6 linked regions of the Mus musculus genome follow. Each later gene encodes a partner of the first gene's protein in a complex. Links are inferred from orthologs where the notes say so. Each region holds a gene or a part of one and is shown in the gene's direction. Other genes may lie near its edges. The genes, in order: Sumo1, Ranbp2, Senp2, Daxx, Sae1 and Pias2.

Region 1 (3,500 bases):
CAGGTACAGTGTTTAAACCCCACAGATAAAAGTTTTAGTTTTATTGTTGTTGTTGTTTTAATTAGATTTTACTCATGGTGTTTTACCTGCCTGTATGTCTGTGCATTATGTCCATAATGCCCTCAGATGCTGGAAGTAGGCATTGGATTTCCCTCAGGACTGGGATTAAGATAGCTGCCATGTGAGTGCTGGGAATTGAACCTGAGTCCTCTGAAAGAACAGCCAATCCTCTTAACCACTGAGCTATTTCTTTAGCCCTTAAATAGATCATTCTTGATTCATACTTCCTTGTAAAGTTACTTTCTTTTAAAGAATCATCTCCCCTTTAGCTGTCATATTAAAATGGTTAACAAATATAAACATCTTTGGTAGCATTTAGACTTAACCTGGTATGTGTGTGTGCATACACACATATTACTGTGCCTTAACTAGCTATCTCTTTTGCATTACCAAATTCTTTGAATTTAATGTTTAAAACCAGTTTTGCTTGTATAGTTAGAAGCTAGAAAGCATATTCAGGTCCTTATTTTCTTTTATGCTAGCTCAGACATAAGGAGAAAATGAACACAGAGGTGGTTGAGAAAATAGGCTTATCAATTATTTTGAGCTGAAATTCTTAGCTTATCTTCAGGCCTCACGTTCCCTAGTTGTAAAATGAAGATGTGGAGATAACCAACCTTCAGTATCTCTGCAAAGAACATCATGACTGTCTATAAAGTAGCACTTGGAACATGAGATTTCCTAAAGCCTTTCATGTTTCCTGCTGTTTCTTTTTCTTTTATGGTTTTATCATAGTTACTAATAACCTAAGATTTTTATACAAACTTTCTTTTTCCTTTTTTTAGGGAGTTCCAATGAATTCACTCAGGTTTCTCTTTGAAGGTCAGAGAATTGCTGATAATCATACTCCGAAAGAAGTAAGTATGAAAAAGTTTGAGGGCTGGAGAGATGGTTCAGCAGTTAAGAGCACTGACTGCTCTTCTGGAGGTTCAATTCCCAGCAACCACATGGTGGCTTATAACCATATATAATGGAGTCTGATGCACTCTCCTGGGTGTGTGTCTGAAGACAGCTACAGTGTACTCATATAAATAAAAATAAAGAAAAAGAAAAAGTTTGAAATAAGATTTTGGATAAAACTGGTCGGGTTTATAGCTCAGGGGTAAAGCGTGTGCTTAGTATGTATATCTCCAGAGTTTGATCTCTAGCACCAGAAAAGAGGTTAAAAAACAAAACAAAACAGTTTTTAGAATTTATATTTAAATAATTTATTAATGTGTATGAGCATCTGAATGCACACATGGGGTCCATAAGGGTCATGATGCCACCACAGTTACTCTTTCCATTTGAATTAACCAATGACCTGGAAAGAGTTCTTGAAAATGGGTGGCTGTCTAGGTGGTAGTGGTGGTACTCACTTTTAATCCCAGTACTCTGGAGGCAAAGGTAGGCTAATGTCTTGAGTTGGAGGCCATCCTAGTGTACAGAATGAGTTCCACGACAGCCAGGGTTACCCAGAATATGTGTGGCTATCCTTCAGATATTGGCCATTTTGAGTCCCTTCAACTTGGTACCTGACTTGTTCTTGACTTTTCTTCACATTTTAAAAAGATTTTATTTTGAAATATTTTTTAGCTTCCAGAGAAGTTACAAGTACAGAATTTAAAAAAAAAAAGAAAATGTTCTTTACCTAATTTCTTTGTTTAATCTCTGTGTTGGTGTGCCTGTGTTCCTCTTGCTTCTTCCCAGACCATTTAGGATTAAGCATTAATGACTTCATGTTTTATGTTTTAATGTCCCCCTTTCTCCCCTTCCCTTTGTTTAAACTGGAACTATTAAACAACAGCAGATAACTAGATACATCTTCTGTGTTAGAAGGTCACTATTAAAACACAAATTAGGAAGCTGGACACATGCCTTTAATTCCAGCATTCCAGAGGCAGGTAAATCTCTCTGTAAATTTGAGGCTACAGAATGAGTTCTAAAAAAGCAAGGGTTACATAGAGAACCCCCCTCTCTTTTTTGGGGGGTGGGTGGGTTGGTTTTTGTTTTTTCGAGACAGGGTTTCTCTGGATAGCCCCAGCTATCCTGGAACTCACTCTGTAGACCAGGCTGGCCTGGAACTCAAGAAATCCACCTGCCTCTGCCTCCCAAGTGCCAGGATTAAAGGCGTGCGCCACCACTGCCGGGCCCGAGAAACCCTTCTCAAGATAAAAAATAACAAACCACAAATTAGATGCCAGAGGGAATTATAGATGACAAAATAAACCACTTAGGAATGGATCCTCAGGGCAGCATTTATCCAACTAAAATCCTTGTTTTTAATTTTTATTTCTATTAAATGAGAGTATTAGTTACATCTAAAAATGTGTTTTAGAAAATATGCCATTGAACTATTAAACTTAAATCTCCCTTTTCCCTCTTTCCCTCCCTTTCCTCCCCTATTTCCCCCTCTTTTACTCCCCTTTTCCTTTTCCCTCTCCTCATTTCCCCTTCTCTTTTCTTTCTCCCCCTCCTTCCCCTTCCCCTCTCTTCCCTCCCATTCTTCCCTTCCCTCTCCTCTCCCTACCCCTCCTTCCTCCCCCATTTCCTTCCCCTCTAGTCTGTGCTAGATCAATCTCTTGACCTTGTACATGCTGTGCAAATCCTATTTTTTGTTTGCTTGGATTTGTTTGTTGTTGTTTCTCTTAAGTTTTTTTGAGACGGGGGTCTCACTATGTATCCTGGGCTGTTCTGAAACTCACAATGTAAACAGGGTGCCTCAAACTCACAGAAATCTATCTGCCTGCCTTTGGCTTTTGAGCACTGGGATTAAGCCACACACCACCAGTCTTTCTCCAGTTTTTTGAGACAATCTCATTTAGCCAAGGCTGGTTTGGAACTAACTGAAGATGGCCTTGAATTCCTTATTCTCTTACTTAACTGCCTAGGTGTTAGCATTACAGAGCAACACTTTTCAACTTTAGAGGCTTATTAATTATAGATGACATGTTTCTTCTTGTACCTTAAAATAGTGGCCACTAATTGCAGCCAATATAAAAATAATGCATTTTTCTTTTCTTCCAGCTGGGAATGGAGGAAGAAGATGTGATTGAAGTTTATCAGGAACAAACGGGGGGTCACTCGACGGTTTAGATAATTCTTTTTATTTTTTATTTTTCCTTTCCCTCAATCCTTTTTTATTTTTAAAAATAGTTCTTTTGTAATGTGGTGTTCAAAATGAAAATTGAATACTGGCACTCCATCTCTTAGAACATATGAATTCTAGTGTTCAATATTCATTATTGGTTGTTTTTGTTGTGCTGATTTTTGGTGATCAGACCTCAGCTCCCTTAATACTGCCCTTTTTCCTTTAAGAGATTTCATGTGTGCACAGAGAGGCCACCCTTTTCAGGACTGTGCATTTTCAGGTTTGTGATGATAAAAAGATCGACCAATGGGAGCTTTCCTATGACCTTTCAATTGGCTCTGAAGTTCCAGCATGTGGTTGCTTCACTCCT
Region 2 (3,500 bases), on another chromosome or scaffold:
GTGTGTGTGTGTGTGTGTGTGTATATATATATATACACATACATACATACATACATACATACATACATACATACATACACGTGGCTGTGGAATGTATGTATGTATGTGTGTGTGTGTATATATATATATATGTATATGTGTGTATATATATATATCTCCACAGCATATGCAGAGATCAGAAGACAACCTACCTTTACATGTGTTCTAGAAATGAAAGGCATATTGCTATGTTTATGTGGTAACCATCTTTACCTGCTGAGCCATGTAGTTGGCTTTATGCTTATTGTGAGACCCTTTTTATAATTGTACCAGGTTATTTTAAGCATAAATCTGAGTAATTATTTGAGATCATATTCTGCAACCCTGTCATTCTCTAGAGTTTCAAGTCCTCTTTTAAATGTTTAGGCCATCAGGTGCATTTTGGTTACTAAATTCTTTGTGATAACTTTTTTCCTAACGTGGAGCCGTTCTGTGCTTTTACATTCTGCTGATCTTGGACCATTTACTTTCTTTGTTTTCTTTTTAGAGCTCTCTCACTATGTAGCGTTCGTTAGCTGAAACTTACAGAAATCTACCTGTCCCTTTGAGTGTGGGAGATCAAATGGCATGTGCCATTATGCCTTACTCTGGCATGCTTGTTAAGTACTTGTTCCTGTTGACAATAGTAGTGTTATTTTTTATTCTTTGTGTCATTTAACTGGTTTTTTTTTTTTTAGTTCTTCATTTATTAATTGCTTTATGGTATACTTGAGTATGTAGAAATGTAAAGATCAGAATAATTAAAACTTCCTTTGATTCTTATTGTATATTTATAATTCTTGTCTAGGTAGTATTTTAAACTATAGAATAGACTTTTAACATTGTTTTCTTGTTTTTGTTTCTTTCACTTTAGTTGCAACTACTGGCCCATCAGTATATTATAGTCAGTCACCTGCATATAACTCCCAGTATCTTCTCAGACCAGCTGCTAATGTAACTCCCACCAAGGTAACAAAGGAAAAGCACACAATTAGAACTGTTTACGTTTTAAATGTTTAGGCTTCTTTTAAAGAAATTGAAACAAGTAGTTCAGTATTGGAAGATATGTGACCTTTGATATAGGCATTTCATAGTCATCTTTTTTTGTGTGTTAACAATAAGTCGAAACATTTGGAATATTTTAAATAGGAGGATTGGATGGTTTTGGCCCTTGTGTTATTATTCTATTTTGATAGGAGTAAGGCTATTTTTGTTTTGCTAGGCTGATTTATTGTCATCCTTTTGACTCAAACTGGATATTATGACAGTAACTAAAAACTATGACTTCCAGGATGGAGATCTGGGTGCGTTGGTACATTTAGATCCCGGTTCTGCTTATTGTGAACTTGGGCAATGTTTTTTAACCTGTGTACCTCTTAGGCCACCTGGTTTTAAATGAGAATAATACTATAGTTAATAGAGTTTTTGAGGCTAAAAACCTTTAACTTCTAAAGTAAGTTAAAATGGTTAGAACTGTGCCTAGTTGATACATTAATAAATGCTTAATGAATGTTAGTAATAATCATCACTGTTAACATCATTTAGTAATTGTTTAGTGAATGAAGAATTATTTTTTTCTAGTCATTGTCAGTACAGATTTTTAAGGTGCTGTCTTATCAAATATATATTCAGGTGTCTTTGTGGCACCATTGGTATCTGTTAATGTGCTGTGTACATTGGTGTTTTCTGCTGAATGATACTCTAATTTGAGGTTTGTGAGAGTTGATTTGTTTGTAGATTTTTATAGTTTTATGAATAATCAAGAAAGTATTTTTTTTCCCTTTTAGGGTCCAGTTTATGGCATGAATAGGCTTCCACCCCAACAACATATTTATGCATATTCACAACAGATGCACACACCACCAGTGCAAAGTTCATCTGCTTGTATGTTCTCTCAGGAGATGTATGGTCCTCCCTTGCGTTTTGAGTCTCCTGCAACAGGAATTCTATCACCTAGGGGTGATGATTATTTTAATTACAATGTTCAACAGACAAGCACAAATCCACCTTTGCCAGAACCAGGGTATTTCACAAAGCCTCCACTTGTAGCTCACGCTTCAAGGTCAGCAGAATCAAAGGTTATAGAATTTGGAAAATCCAATTTCGTTCAGCCCATGCAGGGTGAAGTAATAAGGCCACCCTTGACAACACCAGCACATACAACACAGCCAACTCCCTTTAAATTTAACTCAAATTTCAAATCAAATGATGGCGACTTCACATTTTCATCACCACAGGTAGTGGCCCAGCCTCCTTCAACAGCTTATAGCAATAGTGAAAGTCTTCTAGGTCTTCTGACTTCAGATAAGCCTTTACAAGGAGATGGCTATAGTGGACTAAAGCCAATATCTGGCCAAGCTAGTGGGTCTCGGAATACATTCAGTTTTGGAAGCAAAAATACACTTACAGAAAACATGGGCCCAAATCAGCAGAAGAATTTTGGTTTTCATCGCAGTGATGACATGTTTGCTTTTCACGGTCCAGGGAAGTCTGTATTTACAACAGCTGCTTCCGAGCTGGCAAATAAAAGTCATGAGACAGATGGAGGAAGTGCTCATGGGGATGAGGAGGATGATGGCCCTCACTTTGAGCCTGTGGTACCTCTTCCTGACAAGATAGAAGTAAAAACTGGCGAGGAAGATGAAGAAGAATTCTTTTGCAATCGTGCAAAGTTGTTCCGTTTTGATGGTGAATCCAAAGAATGGAAGGAACGTGGGATAGGCAATGTAAAAATACTAAGGCATAAAACATCTGGTAAAATTCGCCTTCTGATGAGACGAGAGCAAGTATTAAAGATCTGTGCAAATCATTACATAAGCCCAGATATGAAACTGACGCCAAATGCTGGCTCAGATAGATCTTTTGTATGGCATGCCCTTGATTATGCAGATGAATTGCCAAAACCAGAACAGCTTGCAATTAGATTCAAAACTCCTGAGGAAGCAGCACTATTTAAGTGTAAATTTGAAGAGGCCCAGAACATTTTAAAAGCCTTAGGAACAAACACATCTACAGCACCAAATCATACTCTTAGAATTGTAAAGGAGTCTGCAACTCAGGATAACAAGGATATTTGCAAAGCTGATGGTGGAAACTTGAATTTTGAATTCCAGATTGTAAAGAAGGAAGGGCCTTACTGGAATTGTAACAGCTGCTCCTTTAAGAATGCTGCAACTGCTAAGAAATGTGTATCATGCCAGAATACAAACCCAACCAGTAACAAAGAGCTCCTAGGTCCTCCATTAGTTGAAAATGGCTTTGCTCCTAAAACTGGCCTGGAAAATGCTCAAGATCGATTTGCAACAATGACTGCAAATAAAGAAGGCCATTGGGACTGCAGTGTTTGTTTAGTAAGAAATGAACCCACCGTCTCTAGGTGCATTGCATGTCAGAACACAAAGTCTGCGTCTTCGTTTGTTCAAACTTCTTTCAAATTTGGTCAGGGAGATCTTCCTAAGTCTGTTGACAGTGATTTCAGATCT
Region 3 (4,259 bases), on another chromosome or scaffold:
CGTAGACCAGGCTGGCCTCTAATTCACAGAGATCCACCTATCTCTACCTCCCAAGTGCCGGCATTAAAGGCATGTGCCACTATGCCCAGCAGTGACTGTTTTTGTTTTTGTTTTTTGGGTTTTTGTTTTTTGAGACAGGGTTTCTCTGTGTAGCCCTGACTGTCCTGGAACTCAGTCTGTAGACCAGGCTGGCCCTTGAACTCAGAAATCTGCCTGCCTCTGCCTCCCAAGTGCTGGGATTAAAGTCATGTGCCACCACCGCCCGGCTTTGAGACTGTTTTTAATACTTCAAGGGACTGCACTCCCAGACATTATGCTTAAGTCCATAGGAGATATTATTTAGACATTTATTTCTAATGGTTTTCCTTTAATCCCAGCACTCGGGAGGCAGAGGCAGGCAGATTTCTGAGTTCGAGGCCAGCCTGGTCTACAAAGTGAGTTCCAGGACAGTCAGGGCTATACAGAGAAACTCTGTCTCAAAAAACAACAACAACAACAACAACAAAACAACAAAAAGGAAGAAAGAAAGAAGAGAAGAGAAGAGAAGAGAAGAGAAGAGAAGAGAAGAGAAGAGAAGAAAAGAAAAGTGTATACATTCCCAGAGAGGATAATGAGAATTGATTGCTACCTGACAGCTGAGGGGAAGAGACAAGCTGATTAGAAAAGGCCACAGGAATCATTCAGTCCCTGTTTCTCGGAAGCTTTTCCTAAGAAGTCGTGTCCGTCTGCCCTACTCACTCCCCAGCATCTGGTTTAACTTTCTCTAGTTCCATTGCGCATTACAATCATTTATCACATAAGCAGGTGACCTTGTATTCTAATTTATAAGTATCTATGAAAATGTCTCTCCCAGTAAACTTGCACGTATGCGTGCGGAATGAGCCCTAATAGTTAGACTGGCTCAAATGCTAGTGGTTAGCTCCATTTTCTTAGGCACATGGTTTAATTGCTATATACCTTTGGTTTTTATGACATTCCTAAAATTCCCCACTGTGTCCGGTTGCTGTAAACATGACGGCAATCCGGGTAAAGTATTAGACCAATGTATATACAAAATAAAGCGCAAACCCTTACATACTCATTAACTAACCTGACCTATTTTCCACCCTGCGCATTCTTTTACAGAACCCTCCACTGTCGGGTTGCTTGGGTAGCTCTCCCGGCCCAGCATCGATACACGTGGTTTGGGTCTGTGGGCCTTGTCCCGAGATCGACTCCTGACTGGCTCTGCCAAAGAGAAAGCCCCGCCCTTCGGTCTGCCAGTCAGACCCGCGCAAGAGCCCGCTCTCCCCGTCCCGCTTCCTGTTGCTAGGCTTACAAGGAGCAGGCCCAGACTGCGCATGCTCAGACTCCGGAGGCCGCTTTCCCGTTGGGCGGAAGAAGGTGACGTCAACGGCTTCTAGAGAGTCCTCCCCTAGCCCGGGGAACGTTAAATCTGTGGGCCCTCTGATGGCGTCACAAGTCCGCGCCTGATCCTGGCTACGGCTGAAGCGGCGAAGGCGGCAGCGGCAGCGGCAGCGGCAGCGGCGACGGCGGCGGCGGCGGCGGCGGCGGCGGCGACAGCTCTGGGGTTCGCGTCTCGGGGTGTGTCGGCCGCCGCTGCTGCTCAGGCCTGGAATGTACAGATGGCTGGCTAAGGTTCTCGGCACCATTCTTCGCTTGTGTGAGCGGCCCGCGCCCGGGGCCCGCGCCCTACTCAAGAGGCGGCGCTCCAGCAGGTAAGGTGGCCGCGCGCCGGTCGGGTCCCCTCCCCCGCGCTGGCGTTGGGCGCCGCGGGCCTGTGGGAACCGGCGACTACGGGACCGCGGAGGCCTGGGGAGAGTCCGTCCCTCTAGCTGCGAGCGGAAGGGGAACGGGAGGCCGGCGATGTGCTGCTCGCCGGATACGGCTCCTGTCGCCCGGTGTCGTCGCGGGCGGACAGCGCAGGAGCGAGTCACTAGGTTAGGAGTTTGCCCGTAGTCGTTTGACTGCGAGTGCTGTTGTCTTCGCACCGAGGAACAGCAGTTGTCTTGTTCGACAGCAACTGTCGGGGTGTGTGTGTTGGGCTGCAGGGGAAGGGAATGGTCCTGTTCTTTAACATCCTTGTAAGAGGCAGAAAGTATTTACGTACCGCACTCTTGTAAGATTCGGTTAAAATTAGAAGGAAATGACAAATATTAGTACTTAGCATCTACTCCTTTATTTACTTTACAGTGTCTTCCCTTTTAAGGGTTTATCTAGAAAACAAAATATTCTACAACTTCTATACTCCCCCCTGTCTCCCACTCTTACATTCTCCCTCCCTTTCCTTCCTCTGCTATGTCTACTTCACTTATTATTATGATGATGGTGATTATTTTTGTTTCCAGGTCAAGAGAAGTGGACAAAAGATTGGATTAGGGGAAGTAGATCAAAATGATTCATAGATGACTCCAGGAATGTAGGTCATTGGTGAAACTGGTTGTTCGCTAAACTGTAGCATGTAGTCCCATGGCTTCTACAGTTCCATGGGGTTCAGATAAGAATCGGTTAAGATGTTATAAAGTTCTCAAACTGATGCTTATGTAAGAATAGTTTATTCTCCCCCAACTGGATCTGGTGCACAATGAAACTGCATATTTATCGAACAGGGACTGGTGATCGCCTCACATTTTCATTCATAGTCCCTCGGAGTCAGCAGTATGCCGACCCAAACCTGAGTGTGGATGTGTCCTGGCCAGCCTTGACTTCTAGCTGCTTTCTGTTCTTTACTACATTCGGGGGCTCGTGGGTTATTTTGTTTTGTTTTGTTCTTTTGTTTTTTGAGACAGGGTTTCTCTGTGCAGCCCTGGCTGTCCTGGAACTCACTCTGTAGACCAGGCTGGCCTCGAACTCAGAAATCGGCCTGCCTCTGCCTCCCGAGTGCTGGGATTAAAGGTGTGTGCCACCATGCCCGGCTCGGGGGCTGGTGTCTTAAAAGATACTTTTTTCTAGGAACTAGAGCTGTGCCTTAGGGGCGGTGTGCTTGTCTGTCGTGCCTGTCCTGTCTTCAATCCCCAGCCCAGGGTATAGGGGTCGGGAGACATTTAAGCAACACCATTGCCAACTCCCAACTACTACCTTATCTCTTAAGGCTGCTTATATTGTTGCTTGAAATTAAAAAAAAAAAAAAAGTCTGTCTTTAGGGCCAGTGTCCCAAAACCAAATGATGTGTTGGTTTAATTTGGCCAGATTATACATCATAATGTAGTAGGGAGTGTTGAGTCTTTCCTACGGTCTAGAAATAGGACTCTGCTTTGCACCTTGCATCTCATTTTACGACTACATGGGGCACAAGAGAAGGAAGGTTGTGTGGTACGGAGCTTTTGTTTTGGTGTTAGGTAAAGAGACCACGGTCTTTTATATGCTAAACACATGCCCTACAACTGAGTCACACCTCCAGAGCTGAGTAAGTTTATTTATAGAAATGCACGTATGGCCTATATACATCCATCTTCTCCTTTCTTTGCAGCACTCTGTTTTCTACTGCAGTGGACACTGATGAGATCCCAGCCAAAAGGCCAAGATTAGGTACTACATCTTTGAAAATTAATTTGTTTTAGTAGGAAAAATACATGCATGGAACAAAACTCAAAAGGTAAAAAGTCCAGACAATGAGAAGTTTCCTCTTTCCTGCCCTTTCTCTATGCCATTGTCTTTCCTAGAGGTGACTATTTTCAGATATGTGTGTTGAATGTGTGTTTATAGTTCTAAGGTCTTCTGTAGTAAAGGTAATTTTTTTTTTCCCCTGAGGAGGAAGCCAGTTCAAACTGATTGATCTGATTCATCTGGCTGAGTGAACCCATATGCTTTGTCATCACAAATCTACTTTCTTGTATGTGACTGGTAGACAAGAATAAAAGTAGATTAAAGAGCAAGGAATAGTAGAATACTATAGTATGTCCCTTATTTCAACAGCAGTCATGGATTTGGGTCTATACCAGATGTGATGGTTAACTATGGAAACTTGTTGATATTTCATTTAAATCCAATAAATACTTATTGACTATGTCTTGATTTTACACAATTACAGAAAATAAAAAATACTAGGCCTTTCTACAAGTATCTTTTAATTATCTAAGGAAAAAACAAGCTATTTTTAAAAAATAAATATGAATAAATAATGGTTTGTATGTGAATGTAGTAAGATACATAAAACGACATGACAAAACCAGCTGGTGATACCCAGGGCCTGGCTAACAGCCTGTGGCTTAACTACTGAGGATTTTGATGCAGGTGAGTTACAAGTTCAAAGCCTGTTT
Region 4 (4,216 bases), on another chromosome or scaffold:
CGTATGTTCACCACACACAAGCCTATTGGATTTCCTGGAACTGGGATTACAGTTGGTTGTGAGCAACAAGTGCTCTTAAAGGCTTTCACAGGCACTTGCACTCATGTTGTGTAGAGACTTACACTGGCACACGCGTAAAAGGGAATATAAATAATTGTGAAAAGATGGGGGAACCTTTATTTCAGGGAAACCCATTTTGAGAAACCCAAGGATAAGAAAATTAAATCATCTCTTAAGAGTCCGGTCAGCCATTGGAGAGCTACCCCACCCCACCCCACCCCGCTCCTATTGAAATGCTGTAAGCCCAGAAGGCCGGACACAATGAGAGGAGGTGGGTTTAAAATTGAAGTTCGGGTCCTCTGAGAGCAGCTGGGCTTCTTTCTTGGTCCTGCAAATTGGCAAGATGCCCACCACCGTGGAAGGAAGGCTGCAGAGCCGAAGTCTCCGCGCAGAGTGTTGACGTTCAGGCTTCCTCATCAACACCTGCGGACCTTGCCTCCCCACCCTGGGCCGGGCGGGCATCACAGTGGTTTCCCCCTCTTCCTTTTCTCCGCGGCTCTGCGGGAGAAGAAGACACCCCGCGGGATTTCATGAGCCTCTTTTCCTAGAGCTCCCAGCGGCAGCTTGCACGGCTTCTCCCCAAGCCCGCGCCAGGTTATCCCGCGCTCCGCCTCCCGCCCTGCAAACCCAGGCAGTGAAGCACTGCCTTCTGTACCGGTCAAGACGACTCCGGGACAAACAGGGGGCCCACGGTTCGCACCAGGGGGCTCGGTCATAACGACAGTGGTGCAGTCTGAGATGCGTGTCGCCGACGACAATAAAAACAATAGCTCACTCCAGCATCATGCTGTGCTCATTTGTATGCGTGTGTTCGTGTGTGTGTGCACCTGGCCCAGGAGGCCCGGCTGGACAGCCTCGAGGTGCACGCCTCCTCTCGAAGGAAGGGAAGGGCCAGCGTAGGCAGCCAGGCGGTGGAACTCCAGGGGCCGGAGGGAGAGCAGAGAAGGCGGTGCAAGGCTTACACCAACCCAGGGCAGGAAAAGCATATCTTTTATTTCGTTCCCTGGAGCCCTGCACAGCCATAGAGACATCAGCTCCTTAGCTACCTGCAGGAGATTCCTTACCCTCCTAGGGTGGAGGGACCGGTCTTACCCGATGCGACTCCACGCGATGGCTTGGGGTTGTGGGGCAGGTCTGAGGCTGGAGTTTCTGATTGGCCGAGCGGCTTCGGCAAGCTCCTGGTGCAAAGAGCTCCACGCCTCGCCGCGGAGCAGGCCGGTGCCGTACGGCAACATGGCGCGCCCCATCTACCTGGTCCTCCGCCCCGCCCCGTCGAGCCTCCGCGTCCCCGGAGCGGTGGCCTCGGTGGGCGAGCCGAGCGTCACTTCCGGCTCTAAGCGGCCTGGGTCCCGTACAGCAATATGGCCGCCCTCAGGTGCTCCAGGCGGAAGCGCTAAGGCTTCCGGTCTGTTGTGGGGTCTGCGGTGGGGGTTGGGGAGAGGAAGGCGGAGGGAACTATGCGAGGATTTGTGATCCGCGCTCAGGGGATCCTCGAGAGACCGTTTCTGAGGTGGGGGCCAGGTCGTGCGCGGAGCGGGGGTGGCGGCGCAGGAGTGGCGAAGGCGACGGCTCGGCAGGGCCTGCCCGACGAGGCTCAGGGCCGAGCTGGTAGGGTACCTTGCTAGCCCTGAAGGCGAGTGTGGCGGCCTAGGGCTGAACGCCGAGAGAGGGCTCCTTGGCGGGAAGCTGAGGCCCAGACAGGAGGAATGGCGAGTGGTGGGCTCGCTGTCGGGTACCGTCGCTGAGAGTTGGCTGGGAAAACCAGGGTGCGGTGAGAGGGAGGGGACTGGAGGTGAAAAATCTCCAGCCTACAGCCCCGGTTGGAGGAAGGGGGAACACGGAGATGACTGTAGGAGCGGAGAGGACACCAGGCTCTGGGGAGGGAGTCGAAGAGTTGGAGTTAAGGAGAAGTCCGAGAGGACTGTGTTGTTTGAGGGCGAGAGCTGGGCAAACCCACTACGTGGTGTGGACAGGGTGTTGGTTCCTGTAGACAGAAAAACTCGGAGAGCAGCGTGGGACCTTGTCCTCCATTGGATTGGGAGGAAAGAGAAAACGTAGCAGCTGACAGAGTGTGGGAAAACGCAACCGAAAGACAGGAAACGCACTGGGGTGGGAGTGGCTGGAGTTGAGGGTGAGGATTTAAGGTGATCCGGAGGCTTTCCCCCAGAGCTGCTCGAAACTGAGAGTTGCAGAAGACAGGCGTTGAAGACTTGGGAAGGCTTGGGAAGGACTAAGCTATTCTGAAACCCCGACGGGGTGGGACTAAGCAGGAGGGGCTCTTTCGAGGCTCCCTTGTCCTGCCCCTTCCAGAATTCTGACCTTTCCAATACTTTCTCCCTCAGGGGAATTTGAACCCCCATGGCCACCGATGACAGCATCATTGTACTTGATGATGACGATGAAGATGAAGCTGCTGCTCAACCAGGGCCCTCCAACCTACCCCCCAATCCTGCCTCAACAGGACCTGGTCCTGGCCTGTCTCAACAGGCCACTGGTCTCTCCGAGCCCCGTGTGGATGGAGGGAGCAGTAACTCCGGTAGTAGGAAGTGCTACAAGTTGGATAATGAGAAGCTCTTTGAAGAGGTAAGCTTTTGAGATAAAAGGGTCGCCCTTTGTGGCCCATGCTGGCCTTGAACTCACAGAGCTTTTACTTGCCTCAGCCTCCTGACAGCTAGGATTAAAAATGTGAACCACTGGGCAGGAGAGATGGTTCAGCGGTTAAGAGCATTGAGCATCCAGAAGTCCTGAGTTCAATTACCACCAACCACATGATGGCGTGGCTCACAGCCGTCTGTAATAGGATCTGATGCCCTCTTCTGGTGTATCTGAAGACAGCTACAGTGTACTCATATATAGAATAAATGTTAAAAAAAAAAGCTGGGCAGTGGTGGAGCACACCTTTATTCCCAGCACTTGGGAGGCAGAGGCAGGCAGATTTCTGAGTTCGAGGACAGCCTGGTCTACAGAGTGAGTTCCAGGACAGCCAGAGCTACACAGAGAAACCCTGTCTTGAAAAACAAAAGATGTGATCCACTATGGTGTGATAGGGCCGATGCCAGGTAAAGGGGTGTGTGATTGGCTGGTTGTTCTGGCTTCCTCACCGATTCCATCTTTTTTTCCCCCCTTTTCCCTTCCCTTGAACCATGTAGTTCCTTGAACTGTGTAAGACGGAGACATCAGACCACCCTGAGGTGGTTCCGTTCCTCCACAAACTGCAGCAGCGTGCCCAGTCTGTGTTTCTGGCCTCTGCAGAGTTCTGCAACATCCTCTCCAGGGTTCTGGCTCGGTCTCGGAAGCGGCCCGCTAAGATCTATGTGTACATTAACGAGCTCTGCACTGTTCTTAAAGCTCACTCCATCAAGAAGAAGTTGAACTTAGCTCCTGCAGCCTCAACGACCAGTGAGGCGTCGGGCCCTAACCCTCCCACAGAGCCCCCCTCTGACCTTACAAACACTGAAAACACTGCCTCTGAGGCCTCAAGGACTCGCGGTTCCCGGAGGCAGATCCAGCGCCTGGAGCAGCTGCTGGCACTGTACGTAGCCGAGATTCGGCGGCTGCAGGAGAAGGAGTTGGACCTGTCAGAGCTGGATGACCCAGACTCCTCGTATTTGCAGGAGGCCCGCTTGAAGAGGAAGTTGATCCGCCTCTTCGGGCGGTTGTGTGAGTTGAAGGACTGCTCTTCTCTGACGGGGCGGGTCATAGAGCAGCGAATTCCGTACCGAGGCACCCGGTACCCAGAGGTCAACAGGCGCATTGAACGGCTCATTAACAAGCCGGGGCTGGACACCTTCCCCGATTATGGAGATGTGCTGAGAGCCGTGGAGAAGGCGGCGACCCGGCACAGCCTGGGCCTTCCCAGACAGCAGCTTCAGCTCCTGGCTCAGGATGCCTTCCGGGACGTGGGCGTCAGGTTACAGGAGCGGCGCCACCTGGATCTCATCTACAACTTTGGCTGTCACCTCACAGATGACTATAGGCCAGGTAGGACGCTCCCTTCAGGTTGGATGGAGGCATCTCTAGTCCCTTGTAGGATTGGGACTGGGTTTGCTGACCCTGTTTTCCCACACAGGCGTTGACCCCGCACTGTCTGATCCCACATTGGCTCGCCGCCTTCGGGAAAATCGAACCTTGGCCATGAACCGGCTGGATGAGGTCA
Region 5 (3,500 bases), on another chromosome or scaffold:
ACGGTGACTATTAACCTCCTCAGGCTCTGAAGAAATGGCTTTGGGGTGCGGGACTTGGAATGGGCCAGAGAGGAAGTGTGTTTACAGGCTGTGGAATGTTGTGATTGTCAAGTCTTGGTGAGTAGTAGTCTGATAATAGGTGGTCAGGCTAGTAAGGTAGTACAGACAAGTCCTGAACAACTCAGGATGAGCTGTAGATTTTATCAGCTGGGAATGTAGCGCAGGGGCTTGCCTTTCTTGCATACATGAAGCCCTGGGTTTGATCCTAGTATCAAATACATTAGGCAAGAAGGTACATACTGGAGGTAGAGGCAGGAGGGTCAAAGTTCAAGGCTATTCTCTGCTACATAGTTTTAGGGCCACCTTTGTATGTATGAGACCAAGTCTCAAACAATTCTTTTTGGGAGTAGGTGCTGAAAAAATCCAGATTCAAGTGTATGAATAGCTAGGCTTTTTATAATGAAGGTGGTAGAGTTTAAGAGAAGTTGACTAAGTCTATCTTAACACCCATGTCCAGTTTCTTACATGCCAGGTATTACTTCAGAGTATAGACAATGCTTTTGTTTGTGGTCCTGACAGGCTTGGAACTCAGTTCAAAGATGAAGGTGGCTTCAATTTTGCAGTAATCCTCCTGCATTTATCTGCCTTGTTTGTTTGGTTTTTGGTTTTTTGAAACAGGGTTTCTCTGTATAGCCCTGGCTATCCTGGAACTCACTCTGTAGACCAGGCTGGCCTCGAACTCAGAAATCCACCTGCCTCTGCCTCCCCAGTGCTGGGATTAAAGGCATGTGCCATCACTTCCTGGCGTTTTTTTGTTTTGTTTTGTTTGTTTGTTTGTTTTGGTTGTTCAAGACAGGGTTTCTCTAGTAGTCCTAGCTGTCCTGGAACTTACTCTGTAGTTCAGGTTGGCCTCCAGAGATCCGTCACCTGCCTCTGCCTCTTTAGTGCTGGGATTAAAGATGTGTACTATTGCTACCACCTTGCTTAAATATTACCTTTTAAATTATTTCTTTTGAGAGTATTAATTTCTACTACATAGCCATAAAGTTGGCTTTCATATGAACTAGTGTGGTGTGTGTAATCATGCCCTGCTGAGGTTTCTTTTTTTCCCTCCCTCCTTTAGAAAGGGTCTCATCGCCCAGGCTGACCTCAAGCAGAGTGACCTTGAGCTTCTGATCCATTGCTTGGCCTTATAGGACGCCACCATGTCCAGGTGGCCTCAAATTTCCCATCCTTCTTCCTTAGAATTTTAGATATGCACCCCAGACCCTGACGGCCATTGGGCTTACTACAGACTAAGTAAGCACTCACTGATCGTTGGAGAAGAGCCCCTGGTGTTCTCTGGGTGCTTTGTTTGATTTTTGTCTTATTTTTATTTATAGAGATCAACACAATTCCCCTGCCTGTTTTTGTTGTGCTGGGGTTGGTCTCAAGCTTACTAAGTCGTGGAGCAGACTCTGAACCTACCTACCCTTTATCCTGTCCTCACCTCTCCAGTGCTGCGGTCACAAGTGTGCACACCACCTCTCGCACACACCTTCTTATGCTTCCATGGGTTTTGCTTGTGTGCTCCAGATTAAATCATGGCTCTTCTTGCCAAGCTGGGGTTCTACTTAAAGCACTTGCCTGCTGTGGCTGGAGCCCCTGAGTTCAGTCCCCAATACCATAATAAATACACTTGTCCTCTTTGGTTATTATACTAGTCTGAGTGGCTGTGCACACATAACCACTCCAGACTTCTCTTACCTGTGGCGTCATCTTCTCATCCCATGGCTTCTAGTGCCCCCCAGAGCCCTCGTGCTGTGCTCCCCCCACCCCATTTTCATACTTCACATTTGTCCTTTCTATACCACTTCGCGGCCTCTTTGTTTTTGCTGTCTCTGAAAACAGTCAAGCCAGGCATTCTCCTTTCCCTTTTCTTTCTTCTTTCTTTCTTTCTTTCTTTCTTTCTTTCTTTCTTTCTTTCTTTTTTTGGGGGGGGGGGGGCTTCGAGACAGGGTTTCTCTGTGTAGCCCTGGCTGTCCTGGAACTCACTCTGTAGACCAGGCTGACCTTGAACTCAGAAATCCGCCTGCCTCTGCCTCCCAAGTGCTGGGCTTTTTTCTTTTTCTTTTTTTCTGAAACATGTTTTTTTGTGTAACAACCCAGGGTGTCCTGGAACTTGCTTTGTAGACCAGGCTGTCCTCTAACTCACAGAGATCGGTCTGCCTCTGCCTCCCAAGTGCTGGGACTAAAGGTGTGTTCCACCCCACCTAGCTTCAAGTATCCCCTTTTGAGCTTGTGTGTTTTCTATAGTTGGAATACTTTCTTTTCAGTTATCTGTATGTTGATCGGTTGTTTATTTTATTTTGATGAAAAATCACCTTCTCTGGGTTTCTTGTTGTGGAGACAAGGTTTTTGTAATCCAGTCTGGATGTGAACTTCCTGAGATCTCTCTCGCCTCAGCTTCCCAGCCATTCAGGTGACAGATACACTCCTTCAGAACGGTTTTCATCATTATGTAACACTTGTTCTTTAAAATTGCATCTTCCCTTGTCCTCTTTTTATTCGTTTATTTTGTGGTTCTGGAGAGCCATGCAGGACCTCATCCATGCACGGCAAGTGTCCTACTGACGGAGCTCTGTCCCCTGCCCCGTCCCCTGACAGAGCTCTGTCCCCCTGCCCCATCATCTGGCCTTATGCTTGAAGAGCTGCTTTCTCCACTGCGCTGCTCATTGTGGAGAGGGCATACACAACGTGCTCAGTAAAGAAGTCATTTTCTGTGCACAGTTGTTTGGGGCCAATTTTCTAGATCTGAAGGTTCAGTGGTGTTTCTGTGGTGCATATAGTGAAAATTAAGTTTTCTTTTTTTTTCCTGTCCTGTGATTGAACAAGTCCCACTACTTGGGGTCATCAGATTAACATAGCATGTGCTTCACAGGCTTCGAGCTTCCCGGGTGCTGATTGTTGGCATGAAAGGACTTGGAGCTGAAATTGCCAAGAATCTTATCCTGGCAGGAGTCAAAGGGCTCACCATGCTGGACCACGAACAGGTATGTGCCATCTGATTGCCCTGTATCTCTCAAAAGGCCGTGCTGCCAGTGCTGCTGGGCAAATCCAGGTTCAGTGCCACTGTAGGGAAACTGAGGCCTGGGAGGAGGTTTACGTGAATATATAGTCTTCAACCCCTGAGCCGCTGATTCAGGCCTGGAATGATTCGGGAATGGGAACATATAGAACATGGCTCAGTTCAGTGTGATGGCACATACCTATAATCCCAACACTCAGGAGATTGAGGCAGAACTATAAATTCAAGAGTAGCTTTTGCTATATAATGAAGGTCCTAAAAAAAGTCACAGTGGGACTGGAGAGATGGCTCATCAGTTAAGTGTACTGACTGCTCTTCCAGAGTTCACATCTCTACATACTCACATGGCAGCTTACCACTGTCCATAACTCTAAGATCTGACATTCTCACATAGACATACATGCAGGCAAAACACCAGTACACACAAAATAAA
Region 6 (4,277 bases), on another chromosome or scaffold:
TAGTTGTCTTGGTCAAAGTGTCTCTTCACAGCAATACAACCACTGTGATTAAGAAAGAGTATTTTTTTTTTAAACCTTGAGTCAGCTGTCCACATTCTACTCATTAAAGTTCAATTATTTATATGTATACCGTACTTCAGTTAGCTCTTGGGCAAGAGTTTAAGGAGAGGCAGTCTAGAGCTTAGTTTTGTTTTTGTTGTTTGTTTTTCTATGTTGGGAATGGAGGCCAGGAACTAACAGAGTCTAGCCCAGAGCTTACCACTGGACTATGGCCTAACCTTATCAAGGCATTTGAATTAGTATGTTTGAAGAAAGATCCTTGTATGCTAAGGAGAACTGACGGAGGTATAGAATAGGAATTCTTTGCTCACAGATCAACACTTTAAAACTCATACAAGTGCAATGTTCTCAGAATGACTGTAACTGGAAAGAAGCCTTAGGTAGTAACAATATTAAACGGATTCCGTCAGTCTTATCAATGAAATCTGAACTGTGTGTGACCAGCCAGTTTGACTCTGCATTATGTCTGTCATTATGTGTTTTTTTTCATTCTCACACTTTATTCTAGGCTGGCTTCCACCCGGCTGCATAACAATCGCTCATCCTCCTGCTTCAACATCCCAAGTCCAAGTATCTGTTTTATTTCTCCTTTTTTCATTCTTCCATCGAATCTGGGAATATCGGCAATCTTTCTTCTATCTCTCGTCTCTTCATTTTATTTTTCTTCAGCTATCAGGATTTCCTGACTTTTTTCATCAGAGTTTTCTGGGGTGCTCTCTTTTACTTCACTTTTCTCCTCACCGTACCCACAATTCTTTCAACGTTGCTGTCCAGGCCGTTGACATCCCCTTCAAGGTCAGGAAAAATATCAGCCAAGGTGAAAAATTAAGACACAAATTAAAAGGTCTTAGCCAACTGGGTGTGGTGGCACACACCTTTACTCTCAGCACTTGAGAGACTCAAGGAGCAGGTGAATCTCAAGTTCGAAACTGCTCCACGAAAGAGTTCCAAGCAAGCCTGGGTTACACAGTGATGCCCTCCCTGTCTCAACAACAGAAACACAAAACAATTCTTATCCGCGATCACCATTAACTTGGAACAACGGTTTCCACATCACCCTTACTTGGCTTATCCTATCACAGCCACTCTGGGGATGGCACTGAGAGAATCTTCTCGAGTGTTTCCGTGAGTCCTGTCCACTCTCTTCTCTCGGTCACTTCCTCAGCCGAGGCGGTCCTCCAAGTCCCGGGAGAAGGCCACAGTTCCGGTACGAGCCTCGGGAGCTGCCCGCTCTGCCGGTGCGGGGAACAGGGTGAGGGGAGGAGACAGGAAGCGGCGAGCAGGACCGCGCTCGGTAGGGACAGGCCACCAACCGGAAGCGCGTGGGTCGGGGGCGCGCTCGGGCGGAAGACCGCGCGCGTTGGGTTGGGGGCGCCGCGAGGGGCGGGGCCAGCGCGCGCCGGGGGGCGGGACTCCCGCGCAGGTCACGTGAGGGGCCCGGTGGAGGTGGTGGAGGTGTCGGCGCGGCGGCGGCGGCGGCGGCGGCGGCGGCCGCGGCGTCTAGAGCGGCGCCCAGTGCAGGATGTTGCAGGAGACGGCGGCGGTGTCGTTGGCGGCAGCGGGTGGAGGAGCGGCGACGGCTGAGGCGCCTGCGGGCGGGAGAAAATGGCGGATTTCGAGGAGTTGAGGGTGAGCGTCGCGGGGGCGGGGGGTGGGGGGGGCTGAGCGGAGGCCGCAGGGCGGGGGGAGGGGAGGCGGGAGCAGCGCGGCGCCGCCGCTGTCGCCGTCGCGGTCGTCGCCGGGGCGTGCGGCCGGCTGGCGGAGCCGTACGGTCCGGCGCCGCGCGGGCGAGGGCAGGCGGATGGCCCTGGCACCCGGCGGGCCGCACACCTGGCGGGGCGGGTGGCTCGATTCGGCTGGGCACGGGACAGCCAACGGCGGTCGCCTTTGCGGTGGCGACCCCGGGGCACGCCGTGACCGCCCGCCTTCGGAGCCGTGAAGGAGTTGCGTTTAGGGAGCTCCCTGTCCCCCGCTGGGGTCTAGGCAGGTCTGTCACGAGATGAGGCCCCTTCCTCCCACCCCGTGCTGTCTCCCTCGGCGTGGGGAGAAGCGCGCTCTTTTGGGAACGCCGCCTTCCGTAGTCGGCCTCCTACCCAGAGACTTGGTTTGTAACCATGGTAAGAAAGCTTCTGAGTCCGTGTTGTCATGTGTGTGTAGTCGGTGCTCTTGAGGAACAACTGTTTGCTAGCATGAGAACAAGGTCATAACTTTATCGTTGGTGCCTTTGTAGTCGGGCTCTAACGGAGAGGCTGGTGGAGGTTATAAGAAAAAAGGATTTATTTTTTTCCTCCATTAGATAATCTTCACAGAAACCTTATCCCAAACTAAGCCAGGTATGGTGAGCTGCATTGAAGGCCGAGTTACTGACGACATATGTGGGATGTTTACAGATAGAAACCCTGACTCGTGCGTGTGTGTGTGTGTGTGTGTGTGTGTGTGTCTGTCTGTCTGTCTGTCTGTCTGTCTGTCTGTTTTAAAGTGGAGACAGAAGTATATATAGATTTGAAGTTAAATGAACTTGCAGCCAGTTGGGGTACCTTAGGCACGTTTGGTGTTTGGGTTACTTTAATCTGGTTCTGCTTTGTGAGACTGTTATTGTTTGTGGGAAAAGGATGTTGGCAGGCCGGACAGCCAACAAAAGAGTGAATGTGAAAGCTCGCATAGGGCCTACCATTTTCTCTCCTGTTTCAGGAAAGATTGATTTTATGGTTACATGTTGTATCCCTTATCAGTTTATACAGGTAGCATAACTGACAAGGGCAATTGAACCGTATCCATCCTAAGTGTTTAGTGGAGCTCCTGAGATAGCCTGAGCCTCACTCACTACAGTAAATTTTTACCTGCAGTATTACCTTAACTTTTGCACATTAAACAGATGTATATTTCCTCTCAAAAGGAGATGTAGCTTTTTTTGGTTGGTGAAAACCTCCTAGGTGTATTAGACTTTTAGAAATGTCACTGGTTTAAGGGAAGAATTGACCTTAATCATAAAGGGTGGAAGAAAGGACATCAGTACTCAAATTGAAGTGGAACCAGGCAGGACCTTAGAAGCAGTCCCTTTCAGATGTCTCTGTTTTGTTTTGTGGCAAGCTTCATTTTCTCATCTCTAAATCAACTTGGTTTGGCCTCTCCTTGTGCTTGGTAAAAGATAGTATTGTTGGTTTCCCCAGTCATATAGTAAGTGACCAGCAGAGACTTAACCCGAGTTTCCAGAGGAAAGGTAGGAAGGCGGAGTTCAGCAGAATTAAACTCTGTTTTGCTTAGGGCAGACCCATGTTAGCTTGTATTTTAAAAACTTTATCTCAGTCCACAGTGCAGAAAGTGATGGTGGTACATACTCATTTTAATATCACCGAATACATGCCAGACTCGCTTCACATACTTGACATATACATTGTATTCTCCTAATTCTATGAAGACAACAAACACACATAAACTTTCACCTATATTATCCTTTGAGAGGAGAAATGCTAAAATTTTAAACACTAGTTATCTGATTTTAGAATCTTGAGTTCATGTTTGATTTCATTGTTCAGGTGTCCTCGGAACTAGGTGGGATTCCTAATTTTTCTATTTATGGGATAAATTAAATGATAAATACCATCCTTTTGTATCATAAAAGTGGAAGAAAAACAGAGCCCCTCTAAAAAACCCAACCCCCCAAAAAAACAAACAAGCAAGCAAACCAAACCGAAACAACAAAACCCAAAAACTATAATCTGAAAGAAAGAGAAGGGGAAGAAATATCCAGGACACTCAGAATGATGGTTTCTGGCACAGACTATATTCAGATGATCATAGTGATAGTTAATTACATTATAAAATAAAAAAAATTTTATGGACATTAGCTTTCTGGTTATCTTGGCAGTGGAAGAAATGGTAGACTGATTGGGGTACTGTAGTTTAAGCTGTTGAGGATCAGTGTAGCATTAGTCAGCATGTGGCTGGTACTGTCCATTTTGGATGAAGATCATCCCCTCATTTTAGTAATCATGTTCTTTCACTTTTTAGGCTTGGTGTGGTGGGGGTGGGGGGAGGGAGATGTCATTTTATAAGTGTGGTTTGAATAGGTATGACCCATAGATTCAAGTGTTTGAATGCTTGGCCTATAGGGAATGGCACTGTTAGAATGTGTGGCCTTGTTGGAACAGGTGTGACTTTGTTGGAAGAAGTGTGTCATTGTTGGGGTGGGCTTTGAGGTCTCCAATGCTCAGGCT

Evidence for each region.
Region 2: the proteins of Sumo1 (region 1) and Ranbp2 are in contact, whole or in part, in a crystal structure (PDB 1Z5S), measured with the Homo sapiens proteins. The link is inferred for Mus musculus from reciprocal best matches to the Homo sapiens genes SUMO1 and RANBP2. Residues at the interface, in NP_001005781.1 of Homo sapiens: Asp30, Ser31, Ser32, Glu33, Ile34, His35, Phe36, Lys37, Val38, Lys39, Thr41, Thr42, His43, Lys46, Leu47, Ser50, Arg54; in NP_006258.3 of Homo sapiens: Asp2631, Val2632, Leu2633, Ile2634, Val2635, Tyr2636, Glu2637, Leu2638, Pro2654, Thr2656, Cys2659.
Region 3: the proteins of Sumo1 (region 1) and Senp2 are in contact, whole or in part, in a crystal structure (PDB 1TGZ), measured with the Homo sapiens proteins. The link is inferred for Mus musculus from reciprocal best matches to the Homo sapiens genes SUMO1 and SENP2. Residues at the interface, in NP_001005781.1 of Homo sapiens: Asn60, Arg63, Leu65, Glu67, Gly68, Gln69, Arg70, Ala72, His75, Glu89, Tyr91, Gln92, Glu93, Gln94, Thr95, Gly96, Gly97; in NP_067640.2 of Homo sapiens: Asp386, Lys394, Leu395, Arg396, Trp410, Leu411, Asn412, Asp413, Glu414, Thr440, Phe441, Pro444, Lys445, Arg456, Trp457, His474, Val477, His478, Trp479, Met497, Gln542, Gly545, Ser546, Asp547, Cys548, Gly549.
Region 4: the proteins of Sumo1 (region 1) and Daxx are in contact, whole or in part, in an NMR structure (PDB 2KQS), measured with the Homo sapiens proteins. The link is inferred for Mus musculus from reciprocal best matches to the Homo sapiens genes SUMO1 and DAXX. Residues at the interface, in NP_001005781.1 of Homo sapiens: Lys17, Glu18, Tyr21, Ser32, Ile34, Phe36, Lys37, Val38, Lys39, Thr41, Thr42, His43, Lys46, Leu47, Ser50, Tyr51, Arg54, Gln55; in NP_001135441.1 of Homo sapiens: Glu731, Glu732, Ile733, Ile734, Val735, Leu736, Asp738, Ser739, Asp740.
Region 5: the proteins of Sumo1 (region 1) and Sae1 are in contact, whole or in part, in a crystal structure (PDB 3KYD), measured with the Homo sapiens proteins. The link is inferred for Mus musculus from reciprocal best matches to the Homo sapiens genes SUMO1 and SAE1. Residues at the interface, in NP_001005781.1 of Homo sapiens: Asp30, Ser31, Ser32, Glu33, Ile34, His35; in NP_005491.1 of Homo sapiens: Thr179, Lys180, Val181, Ala182, Lys183.
Region 6: the proteins of Sumo1 (region 1) and Pias2 are in contact, whole or in part, in an NMR structure (PDB 2ASQ), measured with the Homo sapiens proteins. The link is inferred for Mus musculus from reciprocal best matches to the Homo sapiens genes SUMO1 and PIAS2. Residues at the interface, in NP_001005781.1 of Homo sapiens: Tyr21, Lys23, Val26, Glu33, Ile34, His35, Phe36, Lys37, Val38, Lys39, Thr42, Lys46, Leu47, Ser50, Tyr51, Gln53, Arg54; in NP_004662.2 of Homo sapiens: Lys466, Val467, Asp468, Val469, Ile470, Asp471, Leu472, Thr473, Ile474, Glu475, Asp479.

The regions. Positions count from the first base shown.
Region 1 is NC_000067.6:59,639,835-59,643,334, reverse strand, and holds part of Sumo1 (small ubiquitin-related modifier 1), read left to right. Parts: intron 1-845; coding exon 846-917; intron 918-3,066; coding exon 3,067-3,135; 3' UTR 3,136-3,500. UniProt on the Homo sapiens protein: Ubiquitin-like protein that can be covalently attached to proteins as a monomer or a lysine-linked polymer.
Region 2 is NC_000076.6:58,474,352-58,477,851, forward strand, and holds part of Ranbp2 (E3 SUMO-protein ligase RanBP2), read left to right. Parts: intron 1-892; coding exon 893-987; intron 988-1,805; coding exon 1,806-3,500. UniProt on the Homo sapiens protein: E3 SUMO-protein ligase which facilitates SUMO1 and SUMO2 conjugation by UBE2I. Involved in transport factor (Ran-GTP, karyopherin)-mediated protein import via the F-G repeat-containing domain which acts as a docking site for substrates.
Region 3 is NC_000082.6:22,008,025-22,012,283, forward strand, and holds the start of Senp2 (sentrin-specific protease 2), read left to right. Parts: upstream 1-1,459; 5' UTR 1,460-1,617; coding exon 1,618-1,718; intron 1,719-1,740; exon of another isoform or gene 1,741-1,866; coding exon of another isoform or gene 1,867-1,940; intron 1,941-3,469; coding exon 3,470-3,528; exon of another isoform or gene 3,529-3,576; coding exon of another isoform or gene 3,577-3,595; intron 3,596-4,259. UniProt on the Homo sapiens protein: Protease that catalyzes two essential functions in the SUMO pathway.
Region 4 is NC_000083.6:33,908,029-33,912,244, forward strand, and holds the start of Daxx (death domain-associated protein 6), read left to right. Parts: upstream 1-1,416; 5' UTR 1,417-1,570; exon of another isoform or gene 1,571-1,826; intron 1,827-2,402; 5' UTR 2,403-2,418; coding exon 2,419-2,643; intron 2,644-3,209; coding exon 3,210-4,041; intron 4,042-4,129; coding exon 4,130-4,216. UniProt on the Homo sapiens protein: Transcription corepressor known to repress transcriptional potential of several sumoylated transcription factors. Down-regulates basal and activated transcription.
Region 5 is NC_000073.6:16,377,897-16,381,396, reverse strand, and holds part of Sae1 (SUMO-activating enzyme subunit 1), read left to right. Parts: intron 1-2,920; coding exon 2,921-3,032; intron 3,033-3,500. UniProt on the Homo sapiens protein: The heterodimer acts as an E1 ligase for SUMO1, SUMO2, SUMO3, and probably SUMO4. It mediates ATP-dependent activation of SUMO proteins followed by formation of a thioester bond between a SUMO protein and a conserved active site cysteine residue on UBA2/SAE2.
Region 6 is NC_000084.6:77,063,731-77,068,007, forward strand, and holds the start of Pias2 (E3 SUMO-protein ligase PIAS2), read left to right. Parts: upstream 1-1,477; 5' UTR 1,478-1,665; coding exon 1,666-1,689; intron 1,690-1,742; exon of another isoform or gene 1,743-2,174; coding exon of another isoform or gene 2,175-2,177; intron 2,178-4,277. UniProt on the Homo sapiens protein: Functions as an E3-type small ubiquitin-like modifier (SUMO) ligase, stabilizing the interaction between UBE2I and the substrate, and as a SUMO-tethering factor.